Linked DNA regions of Oryzias latipes. The main gene of each other region encodes a partner of the protein of the gene in region 2 in a complex. Links are inferred from orthologs where the notes say so. Each region holds a gene or a part of one and is shown on either strand. Other genes may lie near its edges.

Region 1 (4,103 bases), on a different chromosome or scaffold from region 2:
AATTCAACTTGAGTTTGCTGGTTTATTATAGTCCCCATGTGGACTCCTGGATGAGGGGAAAATATAACAAAAGAAAAGAAATACATAAGTATATTTCACTTATCGTGTAACAAACAATAAACACATGTGTCCTACAGCCTGCACATGAGGTATAATTAAAAAAACAACATTCATGTAGTGAACACATCCTTAATGCAGCTGCAAAAATCCAGAATCTAACCTTATTTTGATGCATCTGCATCACTACATGCAGAACATGGTGTGATCACAACCTGCGCCACTTATCGGAAGGTTTTCAAGAGCTCTGCCAATGACATCGGCTTTAGAAAGCGTACTGCAGCGGCATTTGTGGTCCCATTCACACAGCTTGTTATAACAACAAACCGGACCGGGTCGGTAGCTGCAGAAACAAATGCTGACATGTATTATATATTTCTTTTTGTACAACTGTCATCTAAAATCGTATAATATTAAAAACTAACGTACACAATCTGATGAAAATAACATCGTGCCATTTGTAAGACTTTTAATAAACATTCAACCTTAAATTACCCCTACAAACCCTTAGCATCACGCTAGCATACTGTCTGCTTCTTACAGAAGCAGCGTCATTTCCGGTACAAGGCTTTCAAAATAAAGTGATATTTTCCAATGATCCCGTTTTATTATTTCTATCGTTTACTAGAGTCAAACATCTGCTCGGAATACTACCAGATGGGTGATTTAATTAGGTTACGTGAAAAAAAAAACATTTTAATGTTTCACAATTGTAAAATCTTATTGACTCAGTACATACTAGAATTTATTTGTTTGTTTGTTTTATGCTATAATTTCAAGAAGAGTAAATACTTAGTTACGTTTTATGAAGTGGCTACTGACAAGTGGATTTAAAATAAAGTTAAAGTCGGAAATAAATATATTGATTGTCTTGGTGGAAAATTAATGTCTTAAAATAGTCCGGCTCACAAAATGGCAGGAAATCAACCGCCTGGGTAACTCGCTCATTGTGGACCACAGAAAACGTCTCTTTTTTGTCAGTCGCTCACGGATTTTCAATGGCAAACATGTCGAGCAGGAAACAGTTCCCAAAAAAAGCAAAAATAATAGCTTAAAACAGAACAGTGACAACAGTCATAAGTAACAAGACATATTTTGTATTTCCATTGGTTTGAAATCATTTTTATATACCACCGTAAGTTTCACAGTTAAATGTTTTCTTAAGGTTACATTGTGGAAAATTTGTGGAAATTTTGTCTTTTAATCTGAAAACTCCAAAGCGGAAGTGTAGTATTTTACCGAGAGAATTGTGATTTTACTTTGTCGTCTTAGAAAGGAAGAATTGAAGGTAGCTTGTAGTAAAGAATAGTTGGATAAAAAGGGGACACTGGTTTCTATTTTAGTTATTTTTCGCTGCTGCATTATTCCCCCTCTCCAGCCCCTTATCCTGGCTGAAGGTTGAACGGGTAAAATGGAGGCGGACAGATCAGGCGGAGGACCAAACCCGAACTCCGGAGGCGGTGGCGGCGGCGGCGGCAATAGTAGCGGCAGTGGCAGCATTGGAGCGGGGCGCAACCCTAATGGGCCCAAAGCATCACAATGCCCGGCGACATCAGCTGCCGTGAGTGGGGCCATGGCAGCTGCAGCCACGGCGGCAACAGCGGGGGCCGTCCCCGGGTCGTCGCAGCCGCCTCAGGAGACGCAGGACGGGGACTCGGGATTGACGCTCCCCGGGATCCTGCATTTCATCCAGTACGAGTGGGGACGTTTCCAGGCCGAGAAATACCGCTGGGAGGCTGAGAGGGACGAGCTGAGGGTAAATATGTCTTCTCGTTAACTTTTTGTTAGTTGCAATATTGCCGAGTTGAGGTGAGTAACCCAAACTGCGAGCCTTATTGGACTCATTTTACCCATGAATGTGAAATAAAAGCCCCTTTGCCTTGCTGTCATGTTGTTTCATGACAGCAGCATGCTAATGTGTGCTAACATAACATCCCAGAGTCTTTGAAGATGTTTACAGTTTGGCTGCAGAGAGATGTGGTCCAGTGTTTGCTCTCCATAAGGAAGTCACAGGAAAACCCCTTTCATACGTTCAATTAGGTGTAATTACTTAAACAAATCTAATATTTTTTTTTATTTTTATCTATAAAAACAACCATTTAATATCAAGAAAGGTTGAATTTCATCATGACTAAGATTTAGATTTTTTAAATTAAAGCAATGACCCTACAAAAACTTAAAATAAAAAGAGCCTTGTTATAATAATCTCAAGAAAGTGTTTCAATAGTATTATAATCTTATTTTAATAAAACATGTCTGGCTGAACAACATTTTTTTCTTAGAATTCACTTTTCTTTGCCATTGGCAGACTTTTTATTATTTTATCACTTATTTAAAGAACAGTTTTAACATTGTTTTTGGCTTATTATTAGAGGGTTTATTTTTGCAGTGTAGAATGCTTTTTTTGCTTAAAAATAACAATTTTTTTTTAAACAAAAATAGTTCACATATTTGACCAATTGAAATGATCTTTTTCAGTGTAAATCTATCATATTGTCTGGAATTGTGGTAATTTAGCTTTAGGGTTGGAGAGGATTTTATCAATGCCTTTATTACGACCTCTACTTTATACAAAAATGTAGCTTTATGTTGTTTTGTATCAGAAAGCATGGTTTCTTTTTGTCAAAATGGAATTTGTTGTCTTATTAGAGATCAAACCCTTAAATAATTAACTTAAAGTCAGCTTGGCTTGTTATGGTGCGTTAAAAATAGTTTAGCAAGGATTCAAATCTTGGCCAGAGTTATGTTTGTTATTACATACGATTGCATACGTTTTTGTTGTCTGGAACAGTGAAATATATACGATGGAGCAGTTTTCAGGTCCATCTGCCCCACACTTTTAACATATATTATCATCCAGTCCTAAATCATAGTCTCTGCTTGTCTGTCTTTGTTTTATTTTTAATGCACCAACATACATTCTTCTTTATGGTGCATTTATAAAGGCCATCGATCTGAGTGTTTAGAATACAATATATGACTCAGTGGCATAAAAATGCCCTATAGCAGGGCCGGAGTTCCCTGATGTCCATACTTGCTTAAATGCCAACAGCAAAAGAGCGAGGTTGGAGTGTACAGCTCTCCAGAGTGATTACCCGGCAGCGCTTTACTTAATAAATTATTTCACAATTACGTAAGGAAATAAAATGCATGCATAGATATGTTCCCTTCATTTGGAAGTGTTCATCTTTTCATTTTTTCATCCCCTATGTTGCTTTCCTTCCCTCAGTTTTTAATTACAGGAATCTAAACGGTATCTGATGGAGTTCTCAAGCTAGGGAGGAAAACCACAGAAGACATATCATTGGCTTTTTTTCTTCTCTCTATTGGGCTTTTTTTTTTTTTTCCTTTTCCACTTTGCTCTCGACTCAAAACATGAAGTTATAAATAGTAGCCTGATAAAAAATGAATGAACAATAACAAACTGCCTGGACCGTGCTTGCTGCTTTTGTGGGCTCGGCAAAGAGCGGGAACGGAAAGTCCAAGGCAGGCAGGCAAGCGTCGGGTCCAACATGGCACTACTGATTGTTTCCAAAGTGGGTCTTTGCTGCACAAGGTTCGGCTCCACGTGCACAACAGCATCATGTGCTGATAGGATGAGGGGTTCGCTGAAGTGCAAGGCTGGCTTATATTTGAACACCCTGAGGCCACAGGCCGTTGGCTGTTGTTGCCAGTATGCTGAGCACGCCAGCGACCATCCCTGCTGGTTAAATGCTGCACGGTTAGCAACATACTGTGCATGCTTGGGGACATTGTGTGGTCAGCTCAGGTGCATTTGAATGTTTGTACACTTAAGGGGACACGATGGTAATGGAGGAACCCACTAAAAGATGCAGCAGAGTGATGGAAAGGATTAATGGAGGATTACAGCAGTGGAACTCAGGGAAGCGTTTGTGTCTTTGAGATGAAGCGGCCCACTCTCTGTGAGTGTGTGACTCTTGAGATCCCACCTGTGGTGGCGTGTCTCCATCGACGGGTTAGGAATTAATCCTCCTCCTCCTCCTTCGAACAGGTGGAACACGTTGGGTCAAATGCGGGACAGGGGA
Region 2 (4,134 bases):
AGCTTGGTCCCCTGGGGGGTGGGGTGGGGTGGGGGGGGGGGGGGGATATACACAGTAGTTCAACTGTGGGAAATAAAAGCCTTGCTTGCAGGTAAACAGCAGGCAGTTGCAGCTTTTCTCTCACCTTGAGGTAGGACCCGTAGTATTTGGTAACATAAGGACTGTCACACTGGCTCAGCACTGTGATCTCTTGTTGGATGTCCTCTATCTCATCCTCTGCCTCCTCCAGGTCAATGATCTTGATGGCCACCACCTCCTTAGTGCGGTTGTTGATGCCCTTGTAGACCTCTCCAAAGGAGCCCTTCCCGATGCGCTCCTGCTTGGTGAAGTACTCCTCCGGGTCCAGGTGGGTGTTCTGGTGGAGGGTGGACAGAAGCAGCACCGCTGGCTGTTAGCACTTCCTTTCAAACAAGCATGCAGACACAGAAACGCTGCCTGCAACACAACACTGCTCCCTCCGTCACGGTTCATTTCGTTTCTTTTCCAACACCAGCTTTCAGGCGTGTGATCCTCAGCACTGCCAACTGCTGCGACAGCACCGAGAATTGGACAAGAACACGGAAAAGAACCCAAAGTATTTATAAAAACACGCAGGTCACACGTTACACCAGGGGTGAGCAAACAGAAGGCCGGACCAGGAGCAGATCAGTGCGGGGATAAGGTAATCCACCCCATGAGACAAGAGAAATAATATGGAATTTGGACAAAAACATGCTATAATTAGGATTCAAAAATAATGTATATATTTTAAACCATGATATCTTGGGGGTTTTTATTTGAAAACTGCGACTTTTTATTTTATTTTATGCTAATTCCACGAGTGGGTTGATGCCCCCCAGGGACAAACTCAGAGAAATGCTGCGTTCATGTAGTGTTGGGATGGTCGGAAAAATGCCCGTCCGACTTAGAAAAAAACACGCATCGACGTCAGAAAAACCGCAAACCTTCCAACAACTCGTGAATGCACAAACTTTTTAAAGCAAGGTCGACGTCTCTGTAGAGCAGCGTTTATGGGGAGACGGCGTGTAGCAGGGAGCCTCATCCAATAACTAAAGGAGCTGCATTTCCAGAAGAAAACGCAGGCTTGAGTCTATATTACTGAATGAAAAGGAAAATTAAAGGGTAATAATTGGCAAAAGAAATAAAGAAATAATCAAAGTTGACCATAAATAAAGTAAAAACAGCACAATAACAAAAGATATATTTTTCAAAAAAATGCCAGAGCCGGTATCGAACCAGCGAGCTTCTGCACCAAGGATTCCCCATGAATTTCAATGGAAGATCCTGGAAATCCTGGAATATCTTGAAAGGTTCAAGGATTTTAAGGACCAAAGTGATAGGTGGATAAAGCTGAACATTTGAATAGTTGAATGGTTAAAATAGCTGAAAATGTGTTGGGGTTAAGCACCAAAAGCTGGTGGAAGATACTAGAATAAAGAAAGTGAAACAGGAAAACAATGGGTTCAACCAACTAGGATGATCTATATGATCTATTCCAGTAAAAACGTTTAATGGGCTGCATGCTGCTTCATCATCAACGAGGTGAGATGAGATCAGTAACCTGCATCTGCGTGACGACACTTCCGGTTTCCAGGAAGAGGCTTTACTGCAAAGCTAAAGGCAACAGGTGCTGTCCAGGTAAAAAGAGTCCATGCGGACGTGAAGGAGAACTGTACAGTCTGTGCACAGGTGGACGGAACAGCCCGTTTACACAACACACCTGCATTCAAACCGGGATGTCATCCCGCATAAAAAACTGATTTATAAAAAACATGGACTTGAGAACTTTACACTTGTATCACCTGTTAGAACACGATTACAGGTGATTTATGATCGCAGAGCCAGAGCTACATGGTTTTCCTGAAAAGCCCAACTGTGAGGGGTTCGGGTCTAGGACAGGAAGGGAAGTGAGGTGATAGGTTCTCCCTACCTGGTTCTGCATGTCCCGAAGGTGTGCCATGGTTCTGCCGGTCGCGGGGGCAGAGCGCCAGCTCCGGCTCTTCTGCCCTGCCAACACTCAGACGGCCTTCGAGCTTTTACCCCTCAGCTCGCAGCTGTCTGGGAAACTAGCTAGGAGGCTAAGCAGCTACACGAACAGCCAGCCTGCTGCCTCGAACGGGGCTGTCACTCCGAAAACCGTTTTTGGCCTTCGAGTTCACCGGAGGACCACCCCGCCCGGCGAAACGACGAGCTACAGACCGAGACGCTCCATGAATGTCCGCCGAGACACGCCGGGCGAAAAGAACCCGCTCCGTCGGAATAAATATTTAATTTATTTTTAGGAGGGCTTAGCCTGTTGTTCATTTGAAGCTTGAGGAGGACACAATAACGGCCCACAGCGATTGCACATGCGCAGTGATCAGGAAGTAGCCAGGATGATGGGACATGTAGTTTATTTTGCGTCCCTGTCACACAGCAATTTACACAAGAGATTTGTTTTGTTGAGTGATTATTAATAAAAATTCATGTTTGTTCCTGTTAAACTGTTAAGTTTCAATGCTAGATTATTTAAAAAATAAAGGTCTTTTTAAAGTGCAGCTCGCGGTTATTAAAACAGCACCGATTAAAAAGCATCTAAATTGTAATAAAAAAGTGGGATGTTGCAGAAACTGTGACGCAAACGTGTTGCTGGAGCAGTTATGCGGACAAGGAGAGTTAGACAAAATTGAGAGACGGTCATGAACTCAGGATTTCCCTCAGCAGTTCCTCTGGCATACATTTACGCAGAACAATGCAAATCATAAATAAAAAAAATCAACACTGACTAATAAAAAGCGACATGCATTAAAGGAAGTTAAGACTGCGGAAAAAAAGACCCGCCATGCAAATCAAACGATGAGAGGAGTTTCTGGGTGAGCGCGCGCGTGCAGCTCTTACATAAATGTCGGGTAACTTGTGTACGGTCGTTTTGCTTAACCGACCGGCCTGCTTGCGGAGCCTCTCGTGCAATGATTGTTAAGCTCCGCCCCTGTTGTCAAACTCGAACATCGTTTGGCAGCAACACCGACTCTCGCGGCGTTTGCGGCTTTTTCGGTTGTTTGCTGTAGCTGGAGCGGAGCGTTTGGAGCAGCGCCGGAGGCAGCGGTGCTAAAACCCGGGACGGTAAGCTTTCAACGCGTGTCAGGCTGAGGCCAGGCCGGTTTATACCCAGCTAACTCACGGTGATTACGTAACACCGCCCCACCGGCGCCTCACAGACAGACCGTTCTTTTTTTAATTATTATTAATTAGCGGGGTGTTAGCTTAAACCTCAAAATGGCGCCTTTTCTCCGTTTGTTTTAGTGACATTGGAGGCGCGTGCCGGTGACAGCAGCCTCGGCTGTCTTACGTAATAACCTGTAACCTGGTTCCGCCGGTGTCCGCTAACAAACGCACCTTCAGCTGCAGTTAGCCCGCGCCGCGTTTCGGTCCGAGCACGCACGCTTCGGGTTTTTTGCTGCTCCTGCATCAGGTTAGACCCGCTTGGGTGATCTTTATTCAACAGCGGATATAATAATCAGGATTTGTTTGGCATGAGCGGGACCCATGTAAACGAAAATCAAACGAACCCGCTCGGTGTGTCTTGGCCAGAGCGGCTCTGTAGGTTTAAATGGGTTTAGATCAGCCTCAAAGAGACGTAACGGAATGTTATCAGCAGGTCAGAATTTAGGAAAACCTCCGGAGCTCTTTAGATCTAGACAAGTACAAGTTTGCACAAAATACATCCGGACATTATTGGCTGAAGTAGAACTATCCAAACATATGTAACAGTTAAAATGTATGGAATAAACCACACATTTTTTTTCAACATAAATTCCTTTTATTTAGAGGAAAGAAAACAAATTGAATTGCCAGAAAACATCACACATCTAGATGTTTTAATCTGCCTTTTATGCTGTCAAACGAATTTTTTAAATCAAACATTTGGTGATAAATTATGAGCAATGTTTCCTATCTTATGGTCAAAATATTTTTAAAGAAAGGGTTCACTGTTGATGAAAATGTATAATTAGCTTCTTCAAAAACAGTAAATATTTCTTGTTTTCTGAAGAGTGAAATCAGCTTTGCTGCTTCTTTCTCCCACTACTTTTAGCTCTAAGCATCTCGTCATCCCAGCATCAGTTCCTAAGCTGCCTGTGGCTGGAGACACACAAG

What was found. Proteins that work in one complex are often made in the same cells at the same time.
Region 1: stk25 (region 2) and strn4 share a complex: the UniProt entries of both Homo sapiens proteins name them as parts of the core of STRIPAK complex. The link is inferred for Oryzias latipes from reciprocal best matches to the Homo sapiens genes STK25 and STRN4.

Annotation. Positions count from the first base shown.
Region 1 is NC_019871.2:14,853,739-14,857,841, forward strand, and holds the start of strn4 (striatin-4), read left to right. Parts: upstream 1-1,285; 5' UTR 1,286-1,468; coding exon 1,469-1,813; intron 1,814-4,103. UniProt on the Homo sapiens protein: Calmodulin-binding scaffolding protein which is the center of the striatin-interacting phosphatase and kinase (STRIPAK) complexes.
Region 2 is NC_019875.2:5,713,936-5,718,069, reverse strand, and holds the start of stk25 (serine/threonine-protein kinase 25), read right to left. Parts: upstream 2,822-4,134; 5' UTR 1,961-2,821; coding exon 1,931-1,960; intron 356-1,930; coding exon 125-355; intron 12-124; coding exon 1-11. UniProt on the Homo sapiens protein: Oxidant stress-activated serine/threonine kinase that may play a role in the response to environmental stress.